Caenorhabditis elegans: one gene and its partner. The protein of the gene in region 1 interacts with the protein of each later gene in a pairwise test. Each region holds a gene or a part of one and is shown on either strand. Other genes may lie near its edges. The genes, in order: C03A3.2 and F52H2.5.

Region 1 (8,010 bases):
CTGAAAAATGCACCAAACCCCCATGTTTCATAATCAGATTTAGGCTATTCATAATAGCAAAAAATATCAATTTTGCTCATTTTTCTTTTTTGCATCGAAAATCTAGCTTCTGTGATGAAACAATTTTGCACTTTTTAGAAAATACTAGTCAGTTCAAATTTCGGGAAAAAATAATTTTTCAAATACTCTATCATTCTTTTTTTGCTGAAACAAAATATGTTGTTGAAATTAAGCGCGCCTCAAAATAACTTGTTAAAAAAAAAACATTCCAATTTATTAGAAGTAAAAGCATATTTTCAGCTGAAAATGTTGTGCAATTATACCAAAAACGCTATTTCTTGTTTCTTACACTAATCATTATTTTTAAGGTCATGTGGACTCCTGGACATACTCCCGACAGTATTGTACTTTGGTATCCGTACGCTAATCGTCTATTTGTCGGTGACCTCTTTTACCGTTTTGATGATATAATGTTCACGTAAGTCATAAATTATTATTGTTTGTTAAACAATTACTGGATTACAGCTACCAATATACAGACATTCGACAGTACGAAAATTCAGTCAGAAGTATTTTGAAGTTTGTGAAAAGTCAAGATGTTGAGGTGAGCTGGGGGTACTTTTGCCGAATATGTTTTAGATTTGTTCAGGTACGATATTCTGCATCAAAAAACGACACCGATAATAACTGCCTCCCAACGTTCAAGCTTTATCATAGGTTCTTATTGGCTGTTATTGCAGGAACACATGTTGGAACACATTTAAGGTACAAAATTGAAAAAAATATTTATTCATTTCAAAAAACTTTAAACATAGTTTGACTATAAAAAACAGTTAATCAGTTCAGAATTGATGAGGCGGAAGGAGTTCGTTACGAAACAAGAGATAAAAGTATGAAGATTGTGATTGGACGAAACATTGTCAGAAAGTTGATTGAAGCTAGAGAAAAAGCCACTCAAGTGCATTAATATGTATGGTATTGTTGAGTAAAATAATGTGTTTTTTGTTTTGACGTTCAATAAAATATATTCATACTTTTCATCACGATCTTATTTCGAATTCAAAGATTATTCCAAAACGGAGAAGACTGCCGATCCACTTGGTAATATTTCTTATGCAGAACTAGTCCGTCATCGTCTTTTTGTAATTCCGAATTGTTCAAATTGTCTAGTTGTCGATACATCAAACATAATAACTCAACGGTAGCGAATATGGTGCAAAGCTCGGTGAACATGGCGGATAAAGGCGTAAAATAGAGGAATAGAGAACTGAGAATGTCCGATGCTTCATTCATAGTTTGACCTTGATTCGAAATGTTCAATCCGGTCTGAGCGCAGGCAGATTCCATATTCTCTCCTATCCGATTTCTGTGTCTGTGAAAAGAGGAGAGAAGCAGAAGACCAGCTGATATCAGAGAAGCGATGAAAGAAACTGAAGAAGCCGCGCGGAAATTCTGACAATATGAAATTGACGACCAAGAAACCATTCAAATTCATAGTTTGTTACATATGTTTATGTTTTTGAATGATAAAAATGCTAAAAAATAATTCAAATGCTAAATTTTGTTTGAAAACCAAAAAAAAATTGAGTTCCATAGAATTGAACATCTCAAAACGCAACTTATGTAGATTAAAATCATCCATTCTTGTTGATATTTCATAGCACGTAGCTGGACCCCTAATGTTGATGGCTAAAAAAATTAATTAGTCTGTATATTACGGCTCAACAGTGATGTTTTTGACGCCTAAAATTTAAGGAAAAAATGAGTTCGAAAATTGTTCACATGAAGATTAAAATGGGACATTGAAACATAGCCAATCAGAAAAGTTTCGGACTACATTTTGTACACAAATATGCGTTGTAGACAAAATATATTTATCAATTGTGTCCTAAGCCGATTTAATATATTTTTTAAAAAAGTAAATCACAAACTGTTTCATATACTAAACACTTCCCAAACTCTGGTTCAAAATTGATATTTTACCTTACTCATTAAATAGAAAAAAAACTGTTTCTGAATACACATTTCTGTTTAAAAAAAAGTTATCCTTTAATAAGTAACACTTTCATCACATAAAACATCAGTTTAGTGAAATTGACCGGAAATTGAAGTAAAAATAAACGCGGGAAAGGATGGTGTGACTTGACTAGGTTCTAGGCGGCACGAACAGCAAATGTTGGTTTTTAAGTTATTAAATGCAAAACGTTTGATTTTTGAATGTTGGGAAATTGCACAATTTAGAGGGCATTGCGAGTGTCTGAGAAAGAAATGAAATGTTAATTGTTTTGGGCGCTGAAATGAAAGATGACCAGTGGCAAAGTACGGATGAGTTAAGGTGAGTAAAAGAAATAAATGCAAAGGGGTATGGGTGGGTAATGCGACTAGAAAACACTAAGCAAGTATATCCGTAATGTTGAAAATTGATAAAAGGGTGCATAAAACGAGAGTCAGTATGTATAAAAATGGAATCAGAACTTGACTCCAACAAGATTCAGGAGGACCATAATCATGGAGAATCCGGCCCAGGAGGAGATTAGCACAATCCAAATAGGGCTTTGGAATGGACTATTGTTTTTGCGAGGTACCGGGAAGTTAAGCACAGATCTGGCATGTTTGCGAGCAGCAGTGACGAGAAGGCAAGGAATTGCAAATTGAACAGCGACACCTGTAAATATTGTATTTAGTACTTGAAAAGCTCACAGAACATTGTTATTCAACAACAAAAAGTATAACAATAATCATTATGCTTCGTCCCCTAAATATGTACCTATCTACTACACATTTATGAGATTTGAAAGAAAAATGTAAGGGCTGGATTCAATCAAATTTTTTGCTGTTAAAAGAGGATTTTCGGGAATGGGTAGCCGTTTAAACAGTTACGATGTGGTGTCAAAAATCCAAAACGCACAGAATTGAAACAAAAACGTTTGGGACAAATAGTACATTTCGAGCTCGAAAATTCGCCAGTGACTGATTTTTAATTACCGTCTCATTTTTTGGTGGTAACAGATTTTTATTTATTTATGTTTTTATGTTTCAGTAAGTATTGAAATATGAACTACATTTTTCATGAAATTTATAATTGGCTTTTTCTTCAATTAGAAATGATAGCATTATGCTAACTCAGAATCACAAAATATTTGGAATTGATTAGTATCATGATATAATATCCTACCTGGGAAACTTCCGGTAATAGAAGCAAGGAGCAACATATCGTCTGTGAGCAAACTCAAAAAAGTAGGAAGTGCCAACACAAGAGCCGGAACCAACACATCGAATACCGATTTCTGAAATAAAACGAATAATTTGATCCCATTCTCTTTTCCAACCTCATTTCTAGCGTTTCTTGCTTCTCGCTCATCATCAGTATCGTTATCTTCAACCAAACTGTCCGCCTCGAGTAGGGACTCGTTCTCTTGCCTGTAAACCAAACTGATAATGTCAAATGTTGCAATATTATCAACTCACCCAACTTTCGGACACAAAATGTCTTTGACCACATTAAAATTATTGATCAATGTGAGTGCAATAATAGGGTAGCTTGAAGTGAGAGTGATGATTGGGAATAGGGCAAGGAAGTAGTCAATGATAGAGTAGATAAATGATGTGTTGCCATCATGGAAAAAGTTGAGAGTGTAGATATCTTGAACATGCTCGAAAGCAAAAGCTCCAGTAAGGGAAAGAGTGAAGTAGAATACCCCAACAACTCCATACACAAGTGCAATCTTGCCGAAAACGTTATCCTTGGTTCTGAAAGGACGAAGTTAATGTGATTGTTTCTAATTGTTGTTTTTCTAACTAGTAAGTTAATTTTTAGAGAAAAAATTATTTGCTTACCTCATTGGAGTGATAAGAGACGGAATACTGTGATGACACATGAAAGCATATACGGCACATCCAAAAAGTGATCCAAATCCGTGGAAGTTGTACGCAGGCGGATGAGCAGCAGCTCCGTCGCTAGAGAGTTGCATTGTTGCTAGGGAAATCATGAGAATAAACGCTGAAATTGTTTTCAAATTATAAATATAAATGTTATATTGTATGGATGTGATTAACTCACCCGCCCATCTTGAAAGCGTTGTCATAATTTGAATGTGACGAGTTTTAGTGATTCCAGCGATAACCATCGGAAGGCACACGACGACAACAAAAATTATCACAAAAAAGCGATACACTGTCATTCTTGTCAATATTTCTGGCCAAGATTCGTGGCAAGGATCACTAGATTTAACTGTAGAAGCGTTGATCGTGGCACTGAAATTTCTATTTTTATTTGATTCTAGGGGTGTAGTGTTTGGTGAAACAGACAGCAAAATGAGCATTATAAAATTAAAAAGAAACAAAATATATGTTTCCTATGAACGCCATTATCTAAGATGTTATTTTTTTAATTGACAAGTTTCTTACGACATATATTATCATTATTATACGCAATAAGTATTGAACTTCTTGCCCAAGCTTTATGTCGTTATAAATTTTATGAAACTGTTCAGTCAAACAGATGAAGCTAATGCAGTGAACCAGCTAGATCTAAAACATATTTTTGAAAATATTGCTGTTTTCCCAGTGACAGGAGCTAGTACCAATGTGCTTACCAAACGATATTCATTGCAGATTTTGGAACTGTAGTTGAGTAAATTGCAAGATCACCGAACAAGTAGATAATGATGGCAAAGTAGGAGAACACAAGCGAAACTTTTGACAAGAACATTGACGCCATCTCACTCTGCATAAAGTTTCTGCTAATTTTAAATTTATTTTGCAAAACTTACCACTTCAACCTTCTTTGAAATTTCAAAAGTGGATGGTCCATCGGCCACAACGACATCATCATATTCAACACGTCGTTTCTTAGAGAGAACTGCATTGGCAACGGAAAGTGCTTCGATGACAAATGTTGCAGCAACATAACTGAAATATTAGAAAATTCAAAATAATTTGGTAAGTATTTACTACTTCGATATCAAAAATCTTACATAACGATTGGGAAAATATGCTCCTCTTTCGTTGAATTTTTCAATTCTAATGCAAATTTTTTATAAAGTATGAATAATTTATTATTGACAATGCTCGTATTTTTATTCTAAATTTTTTTTTAAAATTGTATTTCGTCTTGTTTTTGAAACATGTATTTTGTTTTTCTTACATAAAACTGTTGTTTTCTAAACAAAATATCTTGTTTATCAACACTATCTTTGTTTTCTTTATCTGATGAACACACCTCATGAACGCGGAAAATGTAAGAAGAGTGATACTGAGGAGCCATCCAGCTGTTTGAAATGCTTTGGGGAGAGCCAATGCACCAGTTCCGACAATCAAATTAAATACATAGAGCAATCCGACCTATAAATGTATTGATTATTTTGAAAAGAAAAAGAAAACAGTATTGTATGACTCACCGTTTGGCTGTAAGTGCCACTGGTGCTGGAATCTGTGTTACTCTGCATTTTGACGAACAAATGAAGCAGAAACGATGGTTGTCTTATCACGTTATCGCTACATGCACCGACCTGAAAATTGTTAAATATTAGATGTTTGCTTTCTGAATAGAACAATGGGAAAAACTAATTTCAAATGGCAACTTTTAAATGAAAAGAAATAACATCAAAAACGATCTTTGGAAAATAAAAAAAAACATTTGAATGGTGTTATCGAAAAGCAGCGATCAACTAAACTTGCTTAATATGGAAAAGAAAAAGAGATGTCGCAAAGCGTAGAGAGACGGGAAGAGGGCAACGCAAAAAAAAACACGCGAGGGAGAAATGAATGAAGTCTGTTTACAACAGTGAAAGGGCCACGTCGTTTCGCGGGCATTCCCCTTTCCTTTCAGCTGTCTTTGCAACCGCGCTCTAACGCACTCCAATTATTCATTCAGTTGGAAAGAAATTGTGGGATGAGAGAGCTGTGTGTGGTAGGGGAAACCGAATGCTTTTGCCCCTGGCCATGAAAATGGAAACATTTTATGAGGAAGAAATCGAAAGGGAAAAGGTCAAAGAGGAATTTGGAGTGAGAGTGTAATATAATGAGAGGAATACGGGGAAAAAACTTCAATACAGAAGTAACATATTTGAAAGATTGATTTAAAATACATTTTCTTGCAAAGTATCTGTTAAAAAAAATAGACATTGTTAATTTTTGTTTTAGTTTAAGTGTTTCAGTTCAAAATCCTCAAAATCGATATTTTTTTAAATGTTTTTGCACTGCAAAAACTTATTATTTCTAAGAAACTGATTATATCACAAAAATTCTTCTAAAAACACAAAATTTTAAAAAACGTTCTGCAAACTAACATGTTTTCAGTAAGCAAACTTGGTCTGAATATATATTTTTTGAACAGACACAACTATATTTGCCAAATTGCTGATAAAACCATTGATCTCCATACATACCGCATGAAAACAATGTTTGTTATACAACTGAAAACCACACTAACTGATAAAATAAGTGAGAAAGAGGTAAAATTTTGATTTGATTACTAACGACCTAATGTATTTCGCCATCGGATTTGGTCAGTGTTGTTCAAAAATCAAATGTCAAAACATTACTAAAGCTGGTTGTAAGACATAGGGTCGCGTCCACCACAAGCACTATGATAGAAAGATGAGGGAAAAAAGAGAAAAAATTATGTTTGCCCTGTTGAGAAAGTCTTATTGATTCAAAGGTCAATAAAAGCTTCCATTTCAAAATAATCGAGGTGTTTGGAGAGGAGGAAGGGCGTCGAGGAGTGGAAAGGCGACAAAATGAAAGGCGTTAAGTCGAGAGTGTTATGAAAAGCAAAATGTAATGCGCTCTGAATATTGTGAGTAGTTTGCAATAGGATAATGTGTTTGAGTTTGGCTGTTTATATGAAATAAACAGAAAAAGGATTACTTAGATTAACTTTCATGTTTAGTTGTTTCGGTGAGATCTCTTAAAGAAATTATTGTTCAAAATGTATGTTATTTCTCTGTATGTGTTCTTTTCTAGTTTCTGGTAATCTGCTAATTAACAATCATAACTTTTTTGAATACACGGTCGTTTTTGTACTTGTTGAAAAACTAATTTCTTTTACTCTACAACAAACTATAATTTTGAATGTTAAAAAAAACATGTTTAAGGTATTTTGAAAATTTCAGTCGAAGTTAGGGAAAAATAAAATTTGCTCACAAGATATTTAGCCACTTTGGCACCAAAGTAGTGATTTTAAATAATTTCAAAATTAGTTCACTTAAAAAGAATTTCTCGAAATTTCAGTTGAATTAAAATTGGTATTCACCTACGTAATAAAATGTCGAAAAGAAAAAAAAATTACAGAAAACTTCAAAATACAAAGTTTAATATTGGTTTTTTTGGTAAAAATTGGTTGAAAAAACACCTCACTAAATTTCCTTCTCAACATAAATGATGGAATTTCAATAAAGCATTGAAATTTGATGCTGCCAAAAGTTTATACTTTTCAGAAGGAAATATATTTGAAACTCGATCATTGTATTGAGAGAATACAAAGAGAAGACCACGTGAGCCTATTCACCCGCATACTTAATAACCAATGACATACTTAAGTTTACGCTGCGAACAAATTCCCTTTTCTGAAGACCAATTTAGACTTTTAACTAGACCGTTTAGACTTAACTTGTCTTCCTCGACAGAGAAATAGAGAAAAGTTTCTCCAATCAGCTGGAAACATTTTGAATATTTCTTCAAACTCATATCACATTCGATGCACCATGACAAGAACTTCAATAAAACAATAAAAATATAAAAAGTTAGGAGTCAAATTTTTTTAAAATTTAAAACTAAAAAAAAAAAAAAAAAAAAAAAAAGATTAATTTAAAAATTTAGAGTGACAGATTAATTTATAAAGTTAGAACGACATATTAATTTAACAAGTTAGAACGACAGATTAATTTTAAAAGTTAGAGTGACAGATTAATTTATAAAGTTAGAGCGACTCGTCTTCTCTACTTGTTCCGCCTTCGGTACACAACACCTTGCTAGCCTTCCTAGCTTTTCTAGCCATTTTCCATCATT
Region 2 (6,124 bases), 8.7 Mb from region 1:
TTATTAGCGGCGGCAATAAGCCTTGAGTCAAAGCTCATAGCTTTTTTCGTTGTATACCCGATTTTTTTTTTGAAATTGTGGGAATATATGTTATTAGCTACGTTACTTTCAAAAAAATTTGTCTACCCCAGGTTTTCTAGCTCGGACCTAGTTTTTTGAGGCTTCTCCCCGATCTCAGTCTGGGAGTTTTAATCTGTTAGTTTTAGTCTATGAGTTTTCTGTCCTAAATGAAAGAATACAATTTCAATTTTTAATATAATAATTATCAATTGCATAATAATTTCTTAATTTATAATATAATAATTTCAATCAAATTTCAATATATCGAAAAAAAACTGTAAAGTAGTTTATAAAATTTTTCTAAATTTTTTATGATTTTTTTAAATTTTGAAATAAACATAAGAAGGGCTAAATTTTTTTTTGGATTCTCGCGCATATGAGTGACGTCATTTTTGACATTTTTGTGTTTTCCGGCTGTTTTAATAAGTAATAGGTTTTAGCTTCTTTTTTTCATATTTTTTTTTGCTTCATAATTTTAAACGCTGTTTGTCATATATTTTTCCAAACAAAAAAATATTTTTAAAAGTTAAATTATCGATTTTCAGGCCAATTTTAGAGTTTCAGCAGGATCTTTTTGGATTACCATGTTTTCTTTTTGGAAAAATGTCTGAAAAAATTAAAACATCAGGAAAATGCATAAATGTCTAAAATGACGTCACCCATTCACGCGGGAATTCAAAAATAATTCAGTTTTTTTTATGGATAAAATTCGGTATATTGGGACTGTATTCTATTATTTAAGGCAAAAACCACAAACGCAACTTTGTCAAAAAACAATAAAAGTTTGAAAAGTATTCATTTAAAAAAATGTTTTTTGTTTATCGTCAAAAAAAGTTGTTTAGTTTTTTAAACGAATGTTTTCAAAGTGGCTAGGTTAATTTGAGAAACTTTTTGAAACTATCGTCAAATGAAAGATTATAGTGATTGACATAAATTTCCGCAATTTCAAAAAAAAATCTATATGCAATAAGACGCATTCTCACCCCAAATATTTTCAAACTTTCACAATAAATTTCAGATTTTCTGATGGCCCAGACACTCACGATGAAGTCGTCAACCCAATTGGAAGGTGGTACAAAAAATGGTTCTACACTCACGTTGAAGATTTGATCAATAAAAAGCACGAATCCATTGAGTACATTCCACTCCGTGACTACTACCATCGTCACTCAAAGAGCATTTTCTGGGAGCTCAGAGACATCGTCCCATTCGGAAACAATGTCCTGTTTCGTTACTTGATGGCTTGGATGTGCCCCCCAAAGATTGCATTTTTAAAGGCAACAACTCCAAACGTTTTAAGAAAGCTGTACGATCGTAGTCATGTTTTGCAAGATATGCTTGTACCACTGGATAAGTTGGAAGAGTGCATCGATCTTTTTCACAAAGAAGTCGAAGTACGTTTTTCAGATTTTCCATATTTTCTAGCATTGTTTCCAGATCTATCCAATGTGGTTGTGCCCATTCTACTTGAAATCCCAACCAGGTCTCATGAAATTGAGAAATGCTACTCACAAGATGTACGTGGATGTTGGAGCGTATGGAGTAACATCCAAGGATGGTTATCATCACGAGAGAACAACACGGCGACTGGAATCGTTTGTTCGATCAGTCAATGGGTAAAATTTGCCTATAAATTATCACTTTAATAATTTATCGTTCAGATTCCAAATGACATATGCCGACATTTACATGACACGAGCTGAGTACGCTGAAATGTTTGACAGAACACTCTATGATTGGAAAAGAGCATCTTGCAAATGTATCGATGCGTTCCCAGATATTTACGATAAAATTTGCAGAAGTGGAAGGCGTTAAAATTTTTTATTTAAAGGTGGACTATGCGAGAAATGATTAAAAATTAATCCTATGATGTTAAAATGACCAAATATCATTTTTAAAAAAGTTTAAAAGGTTTCACGTTTTGATAAGACATGAAAAATTTTCCAAAACTTTTATTCTGCTATTTGGTGATTTTTGCACAATATCAATGAGGCTTAATCACTTCTACATTGTTCGCAGTTCACTTTTTTGAATTGATAGTCATTGCTCGATTGTTTTTCTCATCTCAATTACTTCATTGTACTGCTTAAATTTTATCATTTTACAGGCTCAATTTTCAGAAACGGCGTACAATTTTTGTTGGTCTTCATTTTCATAAGTTTACAAATCAATTAATTTAACTAAATACATTACCATGCAGAATAAATTTAAAAACAAATTTTTTTAAAAGTTTTTTTTTGAACTGTTATTTCACTTTTTTTCCCCATTTTGTTTTATAACTGCGTGTCTGCACACAATCGGGACCTCCACCCTCTCTGCCGACGCGCAAGTGTTACTGACCCACATTTAGTTTTCTTGGCGCGTTTCTTGTTTTGAATGTTGAACAGTGTTCGAGTACCTCTGTTTTTTCGTTTCAACCTCATTTGTGAGTTACTTTTTATTTCAATTTAGTTAAATAATTAATATCTACTTTGTTTTCGCAGAGTTGTCAATTCAGAAAATTTCAGACACTTCTACGGGTTGAAAAAATGTCGGACGGGTTAATTGACAAACCAAAACTTTTTGTTCAAGGAATGTTCGTGACAAGTACCTCTGGAGAAACTGCTGATGAGACAACAATGTCGAAAATTGACAATATCAGTGAGTTATTTTACAAATGTATTTTTTTCTGTTAAGACTAATTTTTACAGTTACGTATGGTCTCCAGGCAATCGAACATTTCCTAGAAAAAAACGATGGGCAGACTGAGCACTCAAAGTTAGAATACAAACGTGTTGTAGCTGACAAAGAAGTTGAGTACGTTATTATTAGAATTTGGATGAAACTGTTAAGAATTCATTTTTCAGGTGCAATCCAGATGGTGTGAAAATTGTGATTTTCGTGGAAGACATCGAGGTTCCCGCCAAACTGACTGCATTCGCCAATGGTAATCGAGCTGAGATCCACATTCCGAAGAGCAAAATTGACGAACTTTCCGAAGAGACAAATATCGATAAGCTACCAGCTAACGAAAAAGCAGCGTTTGAAATGCTTCTTAATCATTTTCTTCATGAGATGATGCATATGGTGAGTTTTTTCAAATCTTACTATTCTGATCATTTGGTTTAAATGAAAACTTTCCCAGTTTGGAGCTTTCCATTCTGATGTTGGAATCATGTCCGGAGTCATCCAGTTGTTCAATGAAGAAAATCGTATTGACTTGGCCATTTTGTTAGATGATCACTCTGCTCGAATTGTTTCTGAAACCCTTATTGGTCAAGTGCTCCCAGATCCACCAGTTGCAACATTTGTGTATGATGAGAAAGACAGATCGCTGAAATTCGAAAGCAGTGCAGGATTCCACACAGTCATGTTTCTGAACAAGTGAGTTTTTAGTGAAACTTTTCGAAAAATATTGGATTTTTTCAAAAAGTGGCAATTATTGAGTTTTTGCCACTTTTTGAAAAAACTAGAGCACTATCGTATGTTCGATTCCCTGATAATTTTTGAAACACACGTAAGTAGATAATAAAAACGGTATTTTTTTCAAATCGACGGCTTTAAAAAAGTGGAAAACGGAGTTTTTTCCGAATTTCAAAAACTCATATAAAATTTATCACTTTTTTTGAATTTTTAAGTATGAGATTTAGGTCATTATAGGCATTTTTAAAGGCAATTTTCGCTACTCCACCTTCAAAATATTTTTGCTCATTTTCAATAAATTTAAATTTCAGCTCCTACTACACAAATCGATTCTACTATTCCGTTGATATGAATTTTGAATGCATTGTTCCAAAAGATTCGGATTGGGATTCGCTTCTTGTTCAATTTGTCTATGGAGCATCGTTATTCTACAAAAAATCGTCCATTTACAACAATTGTGACTATGACCGCATTCGTCGCCGCTGAGCCAAAAACTACGTTTTAATTTATTTTTCACATGTAAAAACATAATTTTAGACACATAAACCATTTTAACAATTTCCAACTAATTAACCAGGGGTCTGAAAAAAAGAGGCGTTGAGCACCCGCATCTGGAGCAAGTAAAACGTTCCAGAACAATCTAACTTAGATTTTAAACTAAAAATTAGGTTCTAAACATATTCTACTGTTTGTGAAAACCTGTAACTCCGTGGAAAAAAATCTAACAATAAGTAAAAACCTTGTAAATTGCAATTCAACAACTTTCAGGAAAACCGATTATTAGCCAGAATATGTAGAAGTGTTTGAAGTGAGAATATATTTATTATGCCAAAATAATTATGGTTTTTCGCATTTCTACTTGTACGAATTGTCATTGTATTCTTTTATATCGGCGGCAAAATACTGTAAAATTGGGGGGAGGGGGGGGGGGGAAATAATATAGTTGAGATCAGTTTTTCTCGAACTTTAGTAAATAAAAGAAAACAACGAAAACTAAATTGGTGGTAACTGGGGATTGTGAGCGCCGAGAACTGAGAGCTACAAGTTTTTATGACACTATTCCTCTTTGTTGGCGTCGACAACCATGAACAACTTTTGCGTGAAGATCGTGACGGAATCTGAAATTTCCAATTGATCAATGGACTCCAAAAACTGAAATAGTTACCTGTGAGCGAGTCAATGCACTTTGGTTTTCCTTTCCATGCAATGAAAATAAGGTATACAGGGACACCAGACAGCATAATAAGGATTCCAATTGCAGTATCCTTCGGGTTTCCAAGAACTGGGACCAACACAAGAAGCACGCACCCAATGAAGAATATGATTGGGAAAACTATCGGCGCTTTCACAGCTCTTGGAGCATCTGGCATTGTTTTTCTAAAGTAGAAGAGCGCAAGGATGGCTCCTCCAATAGCAATCCAGTAGCTGACTTGAATGTAGTTGATGAGAGAGTAAATGTTGTTGGAGAGAAGAAGGTAGAGCAAGGAAAGAAGTCCCTGTAATTTGAAAAAACTTCAATACTAGTAAGAATGTGCAAAACTTACAGTGAGAATTACGGCTGGGATTGGAGTTTTTGTGGTTTTGTTCACCATGGTTAATACATTTGGCATTTGTCCTTCACGAGCTCCGCAGTAGAATAATCTGAATTATTTTAGTTCGCATTGTGTTGTTTAATATATGTTAATCTAAAACTTAGTCGTAAGTCTTGGTTGATCTTAAAGGATTAATAACGGTTATTGGTTTTTTAAATGTACATATAGACCCCAAATGTGTTCACTTTTTTAAAAATTAATTCATATATCTTTATTGCATTGAAAAAATTCCCTTATTGCAAACGTTTTGATAACCTACACTATTTTTGAAAAGTGTGCTTTTTAAATTATCCTCGAGTTACGTGCAACTTTTTGCATGTTTTTGCGTAATTGATTGAAAATTTGTTGAAATTAATTATTTATATACATCATTGATTCTTTTTTATACTACTCAGGGCTGTGCGGCAACCGGTAACCAAGTTGCCGGTTGCCGAAAATTTTTGGGTTCGACTTCGGCAATTGCCGATATCGGCCAAACATTTTGTAGCTCAGAAAAAAACATTCAGAGAACCTGAAAAATGCTAACGTTTCACTGTAAAAGAAAAAAACGACCATACTTTTTTCCAAAGCGCTCAAAAATATAATTTCAACAAAAAAATTTTCAAAAAAAGGCAATTGCCGGTTTCCAAAAATTTTTTGGCTCGTCAAATTCGGCAATTGCCGGTTGCCGAAAATTTTGGGGTTTTGGGGTTCGGCAACTTCGGCAATTGCCGCTTGCCGAACATCTCGACTGCCGCACAGCCCTGATACTACTTTTAAAAAATCTGTCTAAAAAAAGTTACCTAGAACTTGTCAAAATGACACCGTTTGCCGATCCAATGGTTGAGCAGGCCACAAATATTGGCATGCAGAAAGCAAACCATCCATAGTTCTTCTCCGCGAATAGCTGTAATATTTTTGTCAGATTCTATTAAGGAGCATTGGCTAACTTACAACTGCAACCGCTGGGCTTGCAAGCATCTCATCGGGTGTGATTGACGTGTACAAAGCCACGTTTGTAAGAGTGTAGATGATGGTACACAGTGAGCAAGAGATAGCAATAGAGAGTGGAAGGTTTCTGAAATGTTTCC

The links.
Region 2: the proteins of C03A3.2 (region 1) and F52H2.5 interact in a two-hybrid assay, tested with the Caenorhabditis elegans proteins (one large-scale study listed by BioGRID).

What each region holds. Positions count from the first base shown.
Region 1 is NC_003284.9:11,260,348-11,268,357, reverse strand, and holds C03A3.2 (Transmembrane protein 104 homolog), read right to left. Parts: upstream 5,511-8,010; 5' UTR 5,448-5,510; coding exon 5,400-5,447; intron 5,344-5,399; coding exon 5,222-5,343; intron 4,912-5,221; coding exon 4,773-4,911; intron 4,727-4,772; coding exon 4,596-4,726; intron 4,255-4,595; coding exon 4,061-4,254; intron 4,001-4,060; coding exon 3,838-4,000; intron 3,751-3,837; coding exon 3,469-3,750; intron 3,421-3,468; coding exon 3,330-3,420; intron 3,288-3,329; coding exon 3,176-3,287; intron 2,666-3,175; coding exon 2,469-2,665; 3' UTR 2,034-2,468; downstream 1-2,033. Other genes in the region: C03A3.3 (Metallo-beta-lactamase domain-containing protein), read left to right, coding at 369-478, 526-604, 650-765, 847-967; C03A3.9 (uncharacterized protein), read right to left, coding at 1,060-1,347.
Region 2 is NC_003284.9:2,555,870-2,561,993, reverse strand, and holds F52H2.5 (Peptidase_M10 domain-containing protein), read left to right. Parts: upstream 1-2,448; 5' UTR 2,449-2,485; intron 2,486-2,567; 5' UTR 2,568-2,588; coding exon 2,589-2,700; intron 2,701-2,750; coding exon 2,751-2,856; intron 2,857-2,906; coding exon 2,907-3,126; intron 3,127-3,184; coding exon 3,185-3,423; intron 3,424-3,773; coding exon 3,774-3,948; 3' UTR 3,949-4,018; downstream 4,019-6,124. Other genes in the region: Delta(24)-sterol reductase homolog dhcr-24, read left to right, coding at 1,079-1,454, 1,498-1,676, 1,722-1,875; aat-3 (Large neutral amino acids transporter small subunit 1), read right to left, coding at 4,519-4,580, 4,628-4,958, 5,007-5,103, 5,837-5,940, 5,988-6,111.